Linked DNA regions of Macaca mulatta. The protein of the gene in region 1 purifies or fractionates together with the protein of each later gene. This does not show direct contact. Links are inferred from orthologs where the notes say so. Each region holds a gene or a part of one and is shown on either strand. Other genes may lie near its edges.

Region 1 (5,718 bases):
CTCAAAATGTTAACAATAAATAAGTAACAAAGTAAACAGCGTAGGTCCAAGGCAGAAATGTGAGCAGAAAATAAATTGGACACTCCTAGCCTTCCCACTACTATCCTCTTTCTCCTTCTTCCTCTGTAATTTACCATTTTTGTGGAACACTCCTTCAGGTACATAAGGTCCTTGTGCTTCCCCTTTTAAACCATGCTCGCAGAAGGCTGGGCGCGGTGGGCTCACGCCTGTAATCCCAGCACTTTGCGAGGCCGAGGCAGGTGCATTACGAGGTCAGGAGATGAAGACCATCCTGGATAACATGGTGAAACCCCGTCTCTACTAAAAATACAAAAAAAATTAGCTGGGTGAGGTGGCGGGTGCCTGTAGTCCCAGCTACTCGGGAGGCTGAGGCAGGAGAATGGCGTGAACCCAGGAGGCGGAGCCTGCAGTGAGCCGAGATCACGCCACTGCACTCCAGCCTGGGCGACAGAGTGAGACTCCGTCTCAACAACAACAACAAAAAATTAAAACAAACGAACAAACAAAACATGCTCTCAGGAAAAAAATGTGAAATTCATATGCACTGAGGTAAACATAACTAATAACCTCAAGTATTACTCTTAATCGGTATTTGCATCTTAAGCTTAAACTTAAAAAAAAAAAACCGAGTGGAATTTTCATGTCAGCTAGCAGGTAGGAGTGATTTCATCAGTGTCTTTCAAATCTCATGTTGAACATAGTCAATTCAGCCTACCAATAAGGTCAGCACCGAGGACATGCAAATATGCATATACAGTGTAGTATACATAAACCTACCAATGAGGTTTCACCTGCTAAGATTTACTTTTATGTTCCAGTTCTTTTCAGCAGTGACACTTCCAACCCTAAACCTACCTCCAAACTAGAAATTGTATTATCTCTTACCAATAAGATTATTCTATGTTTTATCACCAAAAACCTCTCAAGGAAAGAAAACAAAGTATGAGGCAAGACCAATGCTTTAAAGCCAAAAAACTGATAAAAACTGGGAAGAGGCTATACCAAAAGTGAGGTTTAGAAAGCTGGCTTTGCTATTCATAACAGATATTTTCTTAAAATCTATTAAAAAGCACCTCCTCACCCAGCCAAACACACGTAAAGACTTGGTAGGAAAAAGCCCCTTCTCTCCCTTTTCCTTCCTGAATGTGGATAAGGCCCAGAGATGGCACAGCCCCCTTAACCGCAAGACAATAAACATGAACACACCTGGCAGACCATGTGAAGGGTGAAAGGAGCCACCTCATCACGTCTGGATTTTTGCATAAGGTTCCTGAGAGAGATCAGATTCAGCTACGATAGGAGGGTTTCTGTTACTGCGGCTGAATATACTTATAGTTGATACAAAGACGTAATTCTCACTTAAAAAAATCTAATTAGGCCGGGCACGGTGGCTCATGCCTGTAATCCCAGCACTTTGGGAGGCCAAGGTGGGCAGATCACAAGGTCAGGAGATAGAGACTATCCTGGCTAACATGGTGAAACTCCGTCTCTACTAAAAATACAAAAAATTAGCCGGGTGTGGTGGCGGGCACCTGTGGTCCCAGTTACTCGGGAGACTGAGGCAGGAAAATGGCGTGAACCCAGGAGGTGGAGCTTGCAGTGAGTCGAGATCACACCACTGCACTCTAGCCTGAGCAACAGAGTGAGACTCCATCTCAAAAAACAAAACAAAACAAAACAAAAACCAAATTAACAGCTAGGAAGAAAAGCGACACTGATCTCTCACATATCCTAAGAACCTCAATGATAAGCTTACATTTTTGTTTTCCTCAACTGAGAATGATAAATATCACATAATATAAAAAGAGGGGTGACAGGGGTGAAACTCCAGATTCCAAAGTCAAAAAAAGTGAGACAAGTCTAGGACAGAAAAACATAACACCAGACAATTACGGTCTAATAGGGCTTTAGCTAATATTTCCAATAAGTCAATTTCAACTGTCAGTGAGAAAAATAAAGTTTATTTCTTATGCAGAAGTAATTCCAATTCAGGTTTTAAGTCTGAACCTTCAAACTTGGGAAGCTTTTTTCCAAGTCATCAGCAAGCACCTTATCAACTTCACGTAGGATTTTAATAAAATCTTCCACCTATGAGTCAAACAAACAAAATCAAACACAGAAGAGAAAAACGTGGTTTAAGGTACTGATTGCTCTACCTGTGGTTTCTAAATGGTCCAATGGAAAAGAAATGCTGGCAGATCTCCAGATGACAGTAACAGTACTTCCTAAGCAGTCTTCTAAATCATTCTCAAGGAAATGACTATTCTTTCCCATTCCGTTTTACCCTTAAGCTAGTACTTCTCCCCCTGCCTCCTCTTTACAGTCTGTTCCCACATTCTGTCCTTCATTTTCCCGAAAAAGTTCTTATTGTGAAATCTGATTCTAATGGTAGGAAATGTGATGTCATTTGAAGAACCATAAAAACCTACTGCCTATTCCCAAGAATCTGATTTTGGTTTAATACAGATGCTACCTACTTCATAACAGAAAGGAGTACTATAGATTCAGAGCTGAATTTTTCCTCTTAGAATTGTTACTCCCAATAGTAGTACAAATTTTCCAGTAGTCATCCTTTTTTCCCCCAACCTTTATTGTAGACTCAGGGGGATCTAAATGTTTCTATGTGCAGGTTTGGTACAAAGGTATATCACATGATGCTGAAGTTTGAGGCACAGATGAACCTGTCACCCAGGCAGTGAGCTTAGTACCCAATAGGTAGTTTTTCAGCCCTTGCCCTCCCTCTCTTTTTCCCCCTCCTCCTGTAGTCCCCAGTGTCTACTTTTCCCATTTTTATGTCCATGGTATCCAATGGTTTTAGCTCCCACTTCTAAGTGAGAACATATGGTATTTGGTTTTCTGTTTCCAGCAGTCATCTATCTGACAAAGGCATTAAGTCATATAAATTGTATATACTATAATTTTTGACAATGACTTCGAAATCAAGTGCTTACTTGAAAACATTTAGTAATCCTACAAAACTTGGCCGCCTATACATTTACCCATACTCACCACAGGGCTATAGAAAGGAAGAAGGTTTTGAAATGCAGAGGAACACTTCTGTTTGCTCAATTGGCCTTCCTTTACTCCCTGAGCCACCGTCTCCTAAAACAACAACATTTAATGTCAAAAAAGGGAAATTTTTTCAAGCTTTAACTAGTGAATAAAAACAAATTAGGATATTCAATTCCCTCCTGACTTCATAGGCATTTCAAATGTCCCAACTGAACCCACCGACATCAAGGAGGCTTATGTAACCCAAACGTGTTCTCCACTGTCGTCTTTATTTTAGTGAAGGACACCACCATCCACCCTGCTACACAAACTACAAACTTGGAACACAGTGAAGACTTTTCCCTCCCCTCTCCTGCTGACCCCTCCCGGCAAGTGCTCAATTCTATTCTACCAAATCTCTCTTATCCCATCCCTCCTCTCCATTCAAACTTCCATTGTTTAGGCTGCCATCCTTTTTCAGATTATTCTTGAAGATTACCAACCGCAAGAGCCTGTTAGTTGATCTCCTGCCCTCCAGCCTCAACTCTCTCTACTCCTTCCTCTCTATTGCTTTTGGAGTAATCTTTCTAAATTGATCTTATCACTTGGTGCTTAAAAGAAAAAAAATCTTTAGTAGCTCCTCAGTTTCTTCAAGATTAAGTCCAAATCCCCTAAACATGGCATATAAAAATTTGCATGACATAGCCCTAGTGTATCCTCAGCTCACCTTTCTTTGATGTTCCTACTACTTAAAAGTAGGTGCTCCAAAAAACAAAAGCAACAGCAAAGAATGGGAAAAAATACATGTGATAAATATGGAAAAGATGCATTATTACCCAAGAAATTCATACAAATGGATAAATTATAAAAAAGGATAAATTTTAATTGGATAATTAAAAATTATTATCCAATTAATTATCCAATTAATAATTATTTAATTATCCAATAATTAAAAATTATCCAATTAAATCAAATGGATAAATTATAAATGGATAAATTTATAATCAAAATGGATAAATTATAAAAAAGTAGGAAACAAAATATACGACATCCAAATATTTCAATCTCATTAATTTAAAAATGCAAATCAAAATAAGACATAATTTATTACCTGAACTTTGACATAAAAATTATAATACCCAATAATAAGGGTCAAGGAAAAACCAACATTTCACATGTAAATAGTATTTTGACAAAATATGGCCATTATGCCTTAGCCATCTTCACATTTATAATGTTGAATCCAGTAATTTAAATTCTGTAAAACCTGCTGAGGTAATAACCCCAAATCTGGAAAATACAAATAGGGAAAAGGGAAGCAAGACAACTAATAAAAAAAAAATCACCAGAATAAGAGAAACCTTTTGTTTCATTTTGTTTTTTGAGATAGGGTCTCACTTTGTCACTCAGGTTGGAGTGCAATCCTTCCATCCCTGCCTCCCAAGTAGCTGGGATCACAGGCATGTGCCACCATACCCGGCTAATTTTTGTATTTTTTGTAGAGATGAGGTTTTGCCATGTTGCCCAAACTGGTCTCAAACTCCTGGGCTCAAGTGATCCACCTGCCTCAGCCTCCCAAGTGCTGGGATTATGGGCGCCTGGCCAAGAGAAACTTCTTAAGGAATACTCTTTAAAAAATTCAGTGGGTATGAATAAATATATTCTTCACACCTATATTTGTAGCATTTTATATTCATGATACAACATATTCATAACATATTCATAATATATTTCTTTCCAAATATATGGATAGAAAAAAATATGGTCAAAGGAGGAATGTTAATAACCACTGAACATATTCAGGGAGAATATTCCTTAAGAGAAGTTTGCAGTAAATTTTGAAAACTGATTATTTGGTAAATTAGGTTTAAACTGGCTCTCAGTAAAAAGTCTTTCATCTAGAATCAAGAAAAATGCTTATAATATAGTGTTAAGGGAAAACAGTAGTCTATAAAAATTGCATATGCTGGGTTAAAGTATAGGAAAAATGCATTTATAAAAATACATGCATGCAAACATATGCATATGTTTGTCATACATAAATATACCAAACCACATCAGCTAGCGGTTTTTAAGATTATAAACTCATGGTGATATTAAGATTTTACTTTATTTTCCCAAAATATATATTACTTTCATATTAAAAAAACAGTAATAAAGTTGGAGAGTTAAGCAACCCACACTTTCTTTTGTTCATGACATCATCAATACTTCTTTCCTACCTTTGTTAATGCCTGAAAAATATTAGAAAGAAATTCACATAAAATATCCTTTAAGATTTTCAAGTGGAAATCATCTTGGGTTAAATCAGTCTTTTTAGTTTCTCCTGTGTTAGACTCTGCCGAGTTCTCTGGTTTTTTCTGACACTGTTCCATATTTTGTAAGACCCGAATGAGGCTGTCAATTAGAGGAAGATCTACTGTATAAAAAATCAAGAAACATTGAATTGGCCAGTTAAGTTTGGTTTTTCATTCATATGTATTGAATTAGTGCTAGACATTATTATTTTGGGTACTACAGATACAGTGGTAACATCAGCAAGATGTCAGCCTGTAAGAGGCTTACATTTTTATACTTTCAAATAAGTAAATATAATAGACTATTTTAGGTTTTGGTTAGGTTCTATGAAGGAAATAAAAGAGGAATATAGCAGTCTAGCAGGGCAAGCTCTCTGACAAGGTGACATTGAGTTGAGAACTAAAGCAA
Region 2 (6,215 bases), on another chromosome or scaffold:
TTGGGATTACAGGCGCGTGCCAACAAACCCCGCTAATTTTTGTATTTTTAGTAGAGACTGGGTTTCTCCATGTTGGCCAGGCTGGTCTTTAACTCCTGACCTTGAATGATCTGCCCGCCTCGGCCTCCCAAAGTGTTGGGATTAGAGGCGTGAGCCATCGTGCCTGGACTGATGACCTGTGATCAAAAAAAAATCTTTAACTGAAGTTTTTTTTTTTTTTTTTTTGTTGAGATAACTTTGATCTTTTATTATACTTTCTATAAGTATTTTCCAGACAAACAGAACTCAGGGGTGGGGAAGCACTGGCAAATAGGAAGTCCAGGGGTCATTCAAGATTATGCATTAAATCATAGTATATTTTGAAGTCATAAAACCCCAATCAAATTGTCTTTGTTTTCCAGTATTCGAGACAACAGTAAGAGAAAAACTGGGAGAGTGCATGCATGTGTGTGTGTATGTGTGCATGTGTGTATGTGGATATGTGTAAGCCTTAAGACAGCTACACACAAACATACTTATTTTCCTCCAGTTGAAAGGAAGCTCCCGTTAGAATGTATAGAAACAACACACACTCCCCAGGAGATTTCTAACTGACAAGGGAGTGTCTTTAAGGTAGAGAAGAAAAGCCCAGCAGAAGGGCCCCATATGGATTTCTGGATGTTAATGGAGAGACATGCTATCTTGAGGGCCACGTGGAATATTAATGAGAAAAAAATTCAATAATGACATTAACAGAAACTGCTGCGGAAAACGCCCTAACCCAACTCACTGCTAATGATGATCCTCAAGAATCTATTGAATATGCCAAAAAATCAGAATAATATGTGCTAAGCCCAAACATTTTGGGGGAAACATTTTAGCTCCCTCAACTCAACTATATGTTTTTCAGGGTCAAGGATTTAAGAGGTTCGGTCCGCAAAATCTGTTGATGCCTATGATGTGTCATTTACAGATCTCGGTGCTGTGGATCTGGTAGTGGACAGAGCCCCTGCTCATATGCAACTTTCATTTAATTGGGCGGGGGGGCCAGACAATAATCGCATAAACCTTTAGTATGTCAGGAGTGACAGGTGCCATGAAATGCAGTGACAAGCTGGACAGTGAGGGGCAGGTGATATGTTTGATTATTAGCAGGAGAGGCCTCTCTCCTAATGAGGTAACATCTGGGCAGATACTGAGTAAAGCGAGGTGAGAGAGACCTGGGGGAAGAGCATCCGACACTTCTTTCTGCGTCACATAGCGGCTGGTATGTAAGGTGAGCACGACAGGTGTTTATCAATAGCAATTTATCAACTTAGTGATCCTTTGAGGTTAAGTTGACTGAGTAGATTAAAGGAACTAGAATCTGGTGAAACGGATTAGAATCTGGCAAGTTTACTGCATTGTCTTGCCCAGTGGTTCTCAACTAGGGTAGCATTTGCCTGCCAAGGGATATTTGGCAGTATCTGGAGACATTTTGATGATCACAACCTGGGCAGGTGGGGAGGTTACTACTGGCATCTCGTGGGCAAAGTTCAAAGGGTGCTAAACACTCTACAATGCACGGAATAAGTCCATGCAGCAAAGAATTAAAAGCCCAAAGTGTCAGCAGTGCCACTGTTGATAAATCCTATCTGATACCAGATCTGTGATGAGAGTTGAGGGACTGGGCAGGAGGAGCTCTTGAGAACAACCCCATCGAGAGCTGAACATCTGCAAACCAGGCAGATCCAAGGCCGTTGGAGATGCCCTGGGGCCTCTGTTCCCAGCTTGGTGACAGACTTGGCTGGTTGGTTTCAAAGTCACGCAGGGATTTATTTATTAAACAATATTAAGTAAAAGTTTCCTGTATGGTTTTGGTATAACAGAAAACAAGGAGACAAGATGTGGTTCCAGCTATCAAAGATATTATAGCCAAGGAAGGATGGGAGGCATGAACGCAAACTCCTGCAATGTGACAAGGGCCACAGAGGGTAGAAATAAAATGACGTAGGGGAGAAGAGTAATGACTTTTGTTGGAGTGACCCAAATAGGTTTAATGTATGAGGTATCATTTGAACTGGGCTTTGACAATGGCTTTTAGTAAGCAGAGAGGGAAATGCATGATATGCTAGGTGGGGGGTAAGATGTGAAAACAAGTAAAAAGTCAGGAAATAATAATCATCATCATGATAATATGAACTCCCACCTAATAAGTCCCCTCTATATGGTAGGTATAGTGCCAAGTACTTTATCCTGATAATTGTATACTAAACTCAAAACTGATATATGCAAATCAGCTAAAGCCTAGCACAACCCAAAGTGACTTGAATTTCCATCTTACCCATTTCAAAATGATAGTACAACCAGGGTAGTGTTACCTGTGGTGTGTTGCATAAATACCGAAGCAGTTCACCGATATACTGAATGACAGTGACGTTGTATTTTCTGCAGTCATCCCAAAACTGGCTGGCTGAAAATTTAGTCCGCAAGGCAAGAGTAGCACCTACAGAGAAAGCATAGAAAGTGTCAAGAAAGAGGCCGGGCGTGGTGGCTCAAGCCTGTAATCCCAGCACTTTGGGAGGCCGAGGCGGGCGGATCACAAGGTCAGGAGATCGAGACCATCCTGGCTAACACGGTGAAACCCCTCTCTTCTAAAAATACAAAAAAATTAGCCAAGCATGGTGGCGGGCGCCTGTAATCCCAGCTACTCGGGAGGCTGAGGCAGGAGAATGGTGTGAACCCGGGGGGCGGAGCTTGCAGTGAGCCGAGATTGTGCCACCGCACTCCAGCCTGGGGCACAGAGCAAGACTCCGTCTCAAAAAAAAACAAACAAACAAAACGAAAGTGTGAAGAAAGAAATGGTAGAAAAAATTCTCCCAATTATATTTAATTTGTGAACTTTGAAAGACAGAAATTTAAAAGTAAATTATATTTGCAAACAAGTATTGAGTACCTTATATTCAATGCAAAAAATTAGTAAGACATGGTTTTGTTTGATAGGGGCTTCCAATCTATGGAGGAGAAGACTTATACAAAGGTCATTTTAATAAAAGTCAGCTTGCAGTAAGAGATTCAAATGAGGTCCTAAGAGGGAGGGAGGGGAGAGGGGAGAGATTTCATGCAAAACATATATATATATATATATAAATAAATATAAATATTTCATGCTATATAAATATATATAGAGAGTGAGACTGTCTCAAAAATACACATATACACACACATACGTGTGTGTGTGTGTGTGTGTGTGTGTGTGTATTTGAGACAGAGTCTCGTTCTATTTTTTTTTTTCTTTTTTTGAGACTGAGTCTCGCTCTGTCACCCAGGCTGGAGTGCAGTGGTGCCATCTTGACTCACTGCAACATCCGCCTCCTGGGTTCAAGTGATTCTCTTGCCTCAGCCTCCTGAGTAGGTGAGATTACAGCTGTGTGCCACCACGCCTGGCAAATTTTTTGTATTTTTAGTAGAGATGGGGTTTCCCTGTGTTAGCCAGATGGTCTCAATCTCCTGACCTTGTGATCTGTCCCCCTCGGCCTCCCAAAGTGCTGGGATTACAGGCGTGAGCCACTGCACCTGGCCCGAGTCTCGCTCTGTTGCCCCGGCTGGAGTGCAGTGGTGCAATCTTGGCTCACTGCAACCTCCGCCTTGTGGGTTCTTGTGCCTCAGTCTCTAAGTAGCTGGGATTATAGGCGGGCACCATCATGCCTGGCTAATTTTTGTATTTTTTAAGAAGTGATGGGGTTTTGCCATGTTGACCAGGCTGGTCTCAAACTCCTGACCTCAAGTGATTCGCCTGCCTCAACCTCCCAAAGTGCTGGGATTACGGGCAGGAGCCACTGTGCCTGGCTCGTTCATGCAATATTTTAAATAATTTTGTGCATAAAATAAAGTTTGTGTTAAGTACTTATCTGTAGTATTTTCCACTTGTGGTGTCCTGGTGCTCAAAAAGTTTCAGATTTTGGAGCATTTTGGATTTCAAATTTTTGGAGTGTGTGTGTGTGTGTGTGTGTGTGTGTGTGTGTGTTTGAGCTGCTATAACAATATAGTACAGACTGGGTGGCTTAAACAACATATATCTCTTGCAGTTCTGGAGGCTGGGAAGTCCCTATCAAGGTGTTGGCAGATCGGGTGTCTGGTGAGGGCATTTTTCCTGGTTTGGGGACGGTCATCATCTCCCTGTGTCCTTACATGGAGGAGAACGGAGTCAGGAAAGAAGCTCTCTCCTGTCTCTTCTGATAAGGGCACTACCTTTCATGAAGGTGCTTCTCTCATGACCCAATTACCTCCCAAAGACCCTACCAGCTAATACCATCACATTGGGGGTTAGGATTTCAACACATACACTTTTGGGGGACACAAATATCCATCCATGACATGCATGCATATACACACACATATATGTGTGTGTATATACATATGTGTATATATTTTTATATATACATATATGATTATTTAAAATGAAATGCCACATGGGAGAAAAGGTTGCTTTTTAGTTCAGTCAGAAAGTTACAGATAGCTTCCTGGAAGAGGTGGCTATTGAACTTTGCAGTAATGTATACAAGTGACATAAATCCTCCTGGAAGGAGAGAGGATGGCAACTCCAATTTGAATAGTAAAGTCTGAGAAGGAAAGAGAAGAGATGGCAAGCCAAGCCAAGTATTCTGATGGAGTTGCCATCTTCTCTCCTTCTAGTAGAGCTGAAAAGCTGTGGAAACAGGGGAGGCTGCAGAAGAGTGCACACAACTGAAGAAGTTTAAATCAGATGCTGATGGAGATCAACATGTAAGTTTCTAAAGATGGAAATGACATGACATAGAATCTAAGATTCAAGTGTCATAACCTAGATACAGATAATTTTTTATTTTAATTTTTATTTTATTTTTCACAGTTGAGGTCTCACTCTGTCAACCAGCTTGGAGTGCAGTGGTGCAATCACAGCTCACTGCAATCTTGAACTCTTGGACTCAAGCAATTCTCTTACTTCAGCCTCCTGGGTAGCTGGGACTACAGACTTGAGCCACCATGCCTGGCTATTTTTTTTTTTTTTTTTTGTAGAGATGAGGTTTGCTCTGTTGCCCAGGCTGGTCTTGAACTCCTGGCCTCAAGCAATCCTCCTGCCTTGGTCTCCCAAAGTGCTGGGAATACAGGTGTGAACCATTGCACCCAGCTCTAAAATATTTTAAAGGAGTTTCTCTCTTGATATACTGAACAATTATAGCATTATATTATTAGATAAGCAGGCATGAAAAAACAGATTATTTTAGATGCTTGCTTGTAATATGAGTCAAATAGCCTTATTGTTAAAGCAAAATTGAAGACTGTTCCAAGCAGACAGCAACATAGCCAAATTTTATATTACTGTTCCTTGTGAGAAAATGTAAATGTGCACTCGCCTCCAACACTTTGTAGGAAAAACTTACCAGCCACAATACATCCATGAAAGCCAATCAATAGTGCAGCACTGTGGTACAAGGGCAGAGTGATATAGATGACATCATCTGCCTTCAATCCGCTTACAAAAGTGAGGCCAGTTCCATACCATATGCGCTGATGAGTGATCATGGCCGCTTTTGGAAGACCTTTGCAAATATACAAGAGAAGGTATGAGTTAACCAAGATTGGGCATTTACAGTGTAGGAGAGAGATCTGGCTTAGGAAGATTAATCATCCTGTATTTTGAGAATTGCACTGGGAAGGGCCATGACCGGTTAGACCAGAAGTTGACAAATTTTTTCTATAAAGGACCAGAGAGTAAATGTTTTAGGCTTTGTGGGTCATACAATCTCTGTTGAAACAACTGAACTCTGCTATTGTGGTCAAAAGCAGCCATACACATACATATAAATGGAGTGTGGCTGTGTTCCAATAAAACTTTATTTATAAAAACAGGTGGGAAGCTGTATTTGGCCCACAAGCAACAGATTGCTAACTCCTGAGTTAGATGGTTAGATGGTAGTAATCTGAAGAGAAACAGAAAACAGAGGAATGAATGTCTATTGAATTTCTGCTCTGTGGCTACCATTTTGCATGAAATTTAAAAAATGTCATTTAATTTCCATAACATGTTTATGTATGACATAAACAGAATTATATTCTCCAATCCACAGATGTGAAGGCTGGGAGTCAGAGAGATTTCTTATGTACTAGAGTTATTTTATACAAACAAAGCAAATATGAACATTTCCTTATATGTTCTTGCCTTTTCCATTAAAAAATATGCACACTCAGCTGGGTGCGATGGCTCACACCTGTAA
Region 3 (6,215 bases), on another chromosome or scaffold:
CATTAACCTCCAGCCCGCGGTGGTGCTTGGGCCTCACCCACTCCTGGTACCTGGCCAGGGCTAGGTTGTGGTCAGGCTGTTGCCCAGGAGCCCAGTTACCAGCCTCAGGGTAGGGCTGCCACCTCCCAGCCTAAAAGGCCATGAGTCACCCTTCACCAGCAGCTGAGGGTCCCCAGTGAGTTTCTAAAATTAGGAGGCCCAGTCCAGGCCTTGCTCTCTCTCCCAGGGCTGAGGCCCAGCTCACAGAGCCACCCCTCCAGAGAGGAGTGGATAGGGCCCATGGCTTAGGTAATGCCCCAGAAAGGAAGGCCTTGCAGTGCAGATGCTCAGGTGGCCTCCTCACTCCCGGGGCCTCCTGCTGCTTAGCATCCCAAAGCCCTGTCTTCCCCCAGCCCGGACCCCACCCCCACACAAGGTCTGGGGTCTCTGTCAAGTGGAAGAAAAGGCCCAGAGCCAGGCAGACAGCTCAGGGCAAAAATCAGGATGCCCCAATTCCAGTCCCAGGGGCAGGAGAGTACAGCTGCCCCAGCAGGCACACTGCAGATGGCCCTGGCGCTGCCTCCCACCTGCTACAGGACCTTGAGCTGGTGCTGATCTCTCAGCCTGTTTCCTCATTCGTGAAGGGGAAAATGTTTAAGTACTATTAGTAATAGTCACATCATCCCTAACTGGTTTGGTTGTTGAGGATTATTCATTCATTCAGAAAGTTTTCATTGAACACCAGGTACTTCACAGACATGCTCCCTGCTCTTGGAAATGTAGCGTTTAGTTAACTGCTTGAGGTGAGACCTTGGGCACATGACTTATGTGCCCTCTCAGAGCCTCAGTTTTCTCGTCTATAAATTGGAGGTAAGTATTCCTACCTCACTGAGTGAATCTGAGAATTAAATAATACTTGTAAAACACTTAGGACAGTATCAGATAAGGATCAGTGTGACCTGTTTTTGTTACGGACTCTGAGAGAGGGCCCGATTCAGATTAGAGGGTCAAGGAAAGCCCTCTGAAGAAATGGGGTTCGAGCAAAGCTGGAAGACTATGTAGGAAGCTGGCCAGGCATGACTGCAGGCAATCGCTGTAGGCAGAGCAAACCCATGCACAGATACACAGAGGGGAGAGGACGCTCGACCTGAACTGGGAACAGCAGCCAGCGGGGTCAGGGCACCAGCAGCAGGGTTGGTGTTGGGGGGATGTGGCAGGGCTCTGGCAGGTGGCTGTGTGGAGAACACGGAGTGGGGTGATAGAAGCAGGGCCAGTAAGGCTCCTGCAGGCAGATGGTGGCGAGAGACTCGGGAATATGTGACCTGGACTGGATGAGGTGATGGGGGAGGAGCAGGCCATGTCTTTTCCCCTAGATGTGAGTGGGTGGGTGGGTGTGCCATGTGCTGAGATGGAGAAGGCACCAGTGTCAGTGCTGGACAGGCCGAGATGTCAAGTGGAAATGTCGAGGAGGTGGTGGGAGCCACAGGTTTGTGAGGCCCAGGAGAGGGCCAGAGCTCCAGCTTTAAATTGGAGGGTCACAGCGTATGGAGGCCAAGGAAGCAGATGGGATGTTCGGGGGGAAAGTATGGACTGAAGCAGCTAAAGAACTGCAGCGTCTTAACAGACAGGAAGAGGGACAGCGACAGCGATGGAGCCTGAGAAGGCGGGTGCGGTGTCCCAGGCCATCTGCAGAGGGTCCACGATTAAACAGATCACACACATAGCACGGAGCATGCTGCCCAGCAGGCACACTCAGACCTGCTCAGGGGTGGTGGGGAGGGTCCTGCTCATTCCAGGTGAGACTGTGGGCTGAGGGCTCCAGGTGCTGGCAGCCTCTGAGCTGAGGAGGGCCAGTACCTTCCAGAGATCTCATGCCTTGCCCTGTGCTCTGCCAGATGGGCAGAATGACTTACCCCTATAGGAGGCTTGCCCCACCTCCCTCTGGCCTGTTCGGAAATGGCCAACAGCTCCCGAGTTGGTCCAGCCCCCTCAGCACCTGCCCTGCCGACTGGGTACACCGCTGGCCCTCAGCATCCTGACCTGCCCCACCTTGTCCTGCAGGAGGTGTTTCATAGAGAACTAAGGAGCAACTCCATGAAGACCTGGGGCCTGCGGGCAGCTGGCTGGATGGCCATGTTCATGGGCCTCAACCTTATGACACGCATCCTCTACACCCTGGGTAGGTGTCAGGGTGGGTCACTGCCCTCCCTCCTGCACCCCCACTGGCCTCTGCCTGTCGCATCATCTCAGCCCTTCCGGCCTGATGGGATGGCCCCTGCACAGAGACCAAGCATTTGGCTCATCTCTGTATCTCCGCTCCATAGCCTTGGGATGAGGGAGCAGAGGAAGGCAGGCTGAGGGCAGGAGCTGCCAGGGGTGAGGCTGGGTGGGGCTGACTCTGGGGCACTGGTCTCACTCCACAGCCTGAAGGTTCGTCCATCCCCTGGCTCGCTCATTTGCTCATTCCTTTGATCCACAATTGATACCACATGGGAGCCTGTCAGACCTGCATTTGAAATCTGTCACGTCCAAGCTCTGGGTGCTTGGCCATTCCCTTCCCACCTCAGCTTCAGTCACCTCACCCCTCACATGCAGAGTTTTATGAATGTGGCAAATAGGAAACACCCAAAACTATCATGCTTCCTTCCTCACTCTAAAACCTGGGCTAGATTTGGGCAGCCAGCAAGTCCGGAGCATGAAGGAGAGTTCTGGGCCGCTCCTTGGCCTGAGGTTGGCACCAGCGAGCTCAGTAGGAGTCCTGTGGCCCAGTGTGGTTCGGGATCTGAGTGCCCAGGGTGACTAAGTACGTTCTGGGCCCAGGAGGATGGGGTTCCTCAGAGGACTCTCCATCCAAGCCTTTCCCTGGTGTGTATCCCTTCCAGTCACATGTTTGGGTCACGCCTTTTCTGGGTGCCAACAGAAACCTCTTCCCCACTCAGGATGTACAAGTCAGAAGAGGTCTGGCTGCACATCTCGGGCTGTCTGAGCCGGGGGGACCACCTCCTTTGTTTATAGTTGGGAAAACAGGCTCGGGAAGGGAAGGACTCTTTCCTTGAGCCTTTCTTTGGACAGCTGAATTGTGCTCAGAAAGACTAGTGACATGGTGGGCACATTAGGGAGACATCAGCATTTAAGCGGAATCCTCTTTCTTGCCTATGTGACCTTGGGCAGACCAGTTCCCTTCTGGAGCCTTGGTTTCCTCGTGTCTGTCTCAGTGGGCCCTTCTTTGGATCTCTGACGTCTGTGATCCCAATTCACCCTATGTCTGGAATGAGCCAGACTCAGGACAGACTTAGAGCATGGAGGGACCCCCAGGGTGGGTGGGGTGAGTCGCTAGTGCAGCAGGGAAGCGCACACTCCCCCATGCGTTTGATAAATACTGACCGCCACGTGTAAGACTCCACAGCAAGAGAGACAGACAAGGATTAGAGCAGCGGCTCAGAGCCCAGGCTCTGGGCCCAGACAGTCTTGAGTTCAAATCCTGGTTCTGGCACTTTCTAACAGGAGGACTTGGGGTGAGTTTCTTAATTCCCTGAGCCTCAGTGACCCCGTGGGCAAAATGGAGTTAAGAAGAGTACCTACCTTACGGGGTGGGCATGAGCGCTTCATGAGATGGTGCGCGTGGTGTCTAACACATAGGCAACATTCAGAAACATGAACTTTGCTTATTATAAGGGCTGAGTAGCAGTGCTGTATGGGAACAGACCAGGATGAGGCCAGGTGGTGGCTTGCAGGGTGTGCTGCAGGTATGGTGGGCACCAGGGCTTGCTCTGCAAACCCAGTGATTCCAGACCACTGGTGGCCCGGGAACTGAGCAAAGATTCCCTGAGTGGACATCAGCTATGGAATGCCAACCTGGAGAGGTCATACAAGGCAAGAATAGGGTAATTACGAATTTAGCTGGATTCTGGGCTTTCTCCTATTGGACCAATAGTTTGTGAGATCCTTGAGGAGAGGCCAATGCTTAGGCTAATTTATTTCCTCTAGTACCTGCCGGTTCAGTGCTGGGCACATAAATAATCAGTAACATCCTGCTGCATGAATGAACCAACACCTCTAGGAATGGCTGAGAGGCCCAAATAGGCACAGGAGGCTCCATCCACAGCCTCTTGTATGAGTGTGCAGGACCCAGGGTATTTCCAGCATTACAGGCAAATGTCTTTATGCTGGCCTCAGACTGCTCTCCACATATAGTATTAAAGTTTACAAAGCACTGCCACATCCTCTCCCCGGAGCAGGGTAGAGTGGGTGGCTCAATGTGCCCAGCCACGCAGCTCATAGCAGAGACTCCTGTGCTCCCTTAGCTCTCAGAACGAGGCTCCTTGCCTTCCACCCCACTGACCCGCTCCCCTCCTCACGCACGTAGCAACAGGGGCCCATCCTCACCTAGGGACAGGAGCGATCTGCTGAGCTGGTGAGGTGTAGAGTGGGTGGCACCTCATCACCTTTCTCCTTTCCACAGTGGACTGGTTTCCTGTCTTTCGAGACTTGGTCAACATTGGCCTGAAAGCCTTTGCCTTCTGCATGGCCACCTCGCTGACCCTGTTGACCGTGGCGGCTGGCTGGCTCTTCTACCGGCCCCTATGGGCCCTCCTCATTGCCGGCCTGGCGCTGGTGCCCATCATTGTTGCTCGGACACGGGTGTCGGCCAAAAAGTTGGAGTGAAAAGACCCTGGCACCCGCCCGACACCTGCGTGAGCCCTAGGATCCAGGTCGTCCCTCACCTCTGACCCAGCTCCATGCCAGAGCAGGAGCTCCGGTTGGTTTTGGACTCTGCACCCTCTCTCCTCTTCAGGGGCCAGACTTGGCAGCATGTGCGCTGGGTTGGTGTTCACCAGCTCATGTCTTCCCCACACCTCTTCTTGCCAGTAAGCAGCTTTGGTGGGCAGCAGCAGCTCATGAATGGCCACCTGACAGCTTCTCCTGCTGTTTCCTTCCTCTCTCTTGGACTGAGTGCGTATGGCCAGCCACTCAGCCCACTGGCAGCTGACGACGCAGACACGCTCTAAGGAGGCCTGCTGATAAAGGGCTCAGCCTTGCCGTGTGCTGCTTCTCATCACTGCACACAAGTGCCAGGCTTTGCCGCCACCACCAAGCACTTCTGTGATCCTGAAGGGCGGCCGTTAGTCATTACTGCTGAGTCCTGGGTCACCAGCAGACACACTGGGCATGGACCCCACAAAGCAGGTACACCCAAAACATAGTCTGTGGCTGGAACCTGGTTTGGTGTTTAAAAGAGAAGAAACACTGAAGATGTCGTGAGGAGAAAAGCTGGACGTACGTTGGGCTTCACACTTATCTTATGGCTTGGTAGAATCTTTGTAGTGTGTGGGATATCTGAAGGTCCTATTTGAGGTTTTCTTCATTACTTTGCTGCTTTGTATGTACTTTCCTACCCTAAGAGGAAGTTTTCTGAAATAAGATTTTAAAACAACAAAAAAAACACTTGAATGATTAATATTTCAGACTGTTCCAGGAAACACCCTTCAGTCTGTCAGTTGAATTCAGAGCACCGAAAGGTGTTAAATTGGGTATGTGGTTTGACTGATAAAAAATTACCTTTCAGTATTCTGTGTCACTGAGAAGCTTTACAACGGATGCTTTTGAAACAAGTATTAGCGAAAGGATTTGTTTTCACTCTGGGAGGAGAGGGTGGAGAAAGCAGCTGCTTTCATCCTCTGGCATCAGGAACTCCCCTGTGCACTTGAAGATGGTTTAAAAGATTAAAGAAAAGATTAAGAGAAAAGGTTGGAAGCTTTATACTAAATGGGCACCTTCATGGTGACCCCCAGTCAACCACAATCAAGAACTGAGGCCTGAGGCTTGCTGTACAGTGCCCATGCCTGCCTGGCTGCTTTCACCCGGGAGTACTTTCGACATGGGCACCTGGGCCTCCTATGGCTGCTTCTGAGTAGTCCTTTCATGTGTTGTGTCCATAGCTTTAGTCCTCCTAAATAAGATCCACCCACACCTAAGTCACAGAATTTCTGAGTTCCCCAACTACTCTCGCACCATTAAAAGTATGTTGTAACCAAGATGCCTTAAATGATTCTTTGTATACCCTTTCTGTCATATTCAGAAACCGTTTTGTGCCTGCTGGAAGTAATTCCTTTAGCAACTAAGTATTTGGTAGCTGAATAAGGGGGTCAGAACTTCTGAAACCAGTGATCTGTAACCATCTCTACTGGCCTCGGGTGCCTGTGCTATAAATGAGTTTCTTCACATGAAAAACACAG

What was found. The genes of interacting proteins can lie anywhere in the genome.
Region 2: the proteins of SAAL1 (region 1) and SLC27A2 purify together in Homo sapiens (co-immunoprecipitation; 3 studies listed by BioGRID and IntAct, with this or other methods). This does not show direct contact. The link is inferred for Macaca mulatta from reciprocal best matches to the Homo sapiens genes SAAL1 and SLC27A2.
Region 3: the proteins of SAAL1 (region 1) and TMEM43 purify together in Homo sapiens (affinity purification with mass spectrometry; 3 studies listed by BioGRID and IntAct, with this or other methods). This does not show direct contact. The link is inferred for Macaca mulatta from reciprocal best matches to the Homo sapiens genes SAAL1 and TMEM43.

The regions. Positions count from the first base shown.
Region 1 is NC_133419.1:47,374,309-47,380,026, reverse strand, and holds the end of SAAL1 (protein SAAL1), read right to left. Parts: intron 5,432-5,718; coding exon 5,235-5,431; intron 3,124-5,234; coding exon 3,031-3,123; intron 2,110-3,030; coding exon 2,017-2,109; 3' UTR 1,961-2,016; downstream 1-1,960. UniProt on the Homo sapiens protein: Plays a role in promoting the proliferation of synovial fibroblasts in response to pro-inflammatory stimuli.
Region 2 is NC_133412.1:27,532,773-27,538,987, reverse strand, and holds part of SLC27A2 (long-chain fatty acid transport protein 2), read right to left. Parts: intron 5,541-6,215; coding exon 5,382-5,540; intron 2,465-5,381; coding exon 2,340-2,464; intron 1-2,339. UniProt on the Homo sapiens protein: Mediates the import of long-chain fatty acids (LCFA) into the cell by facilitating their transport across cell membranes, playing an important role in hepatic fatty acid uptake.
Region 3 is NC_133407.1:152,940,172-152,946,386, forward strand, and holds part of TMEM43 (transmembrane protein 43), read left to right. Parts: intron 1-2,040; coding exon 2,041-2,214; coding exon of another isoform or gene 2,215-2,237; intron 2,238-4,404; coding exon 4,405-4,644; 3' UTR 4,645-6,215. UniProt on the Homo sapiens protein: May have an important role in maintaining nuclear envelope structure by organizing protein complexes at the inner nuclear membrane. Required for retaining emerin at the inner nuclear membrane.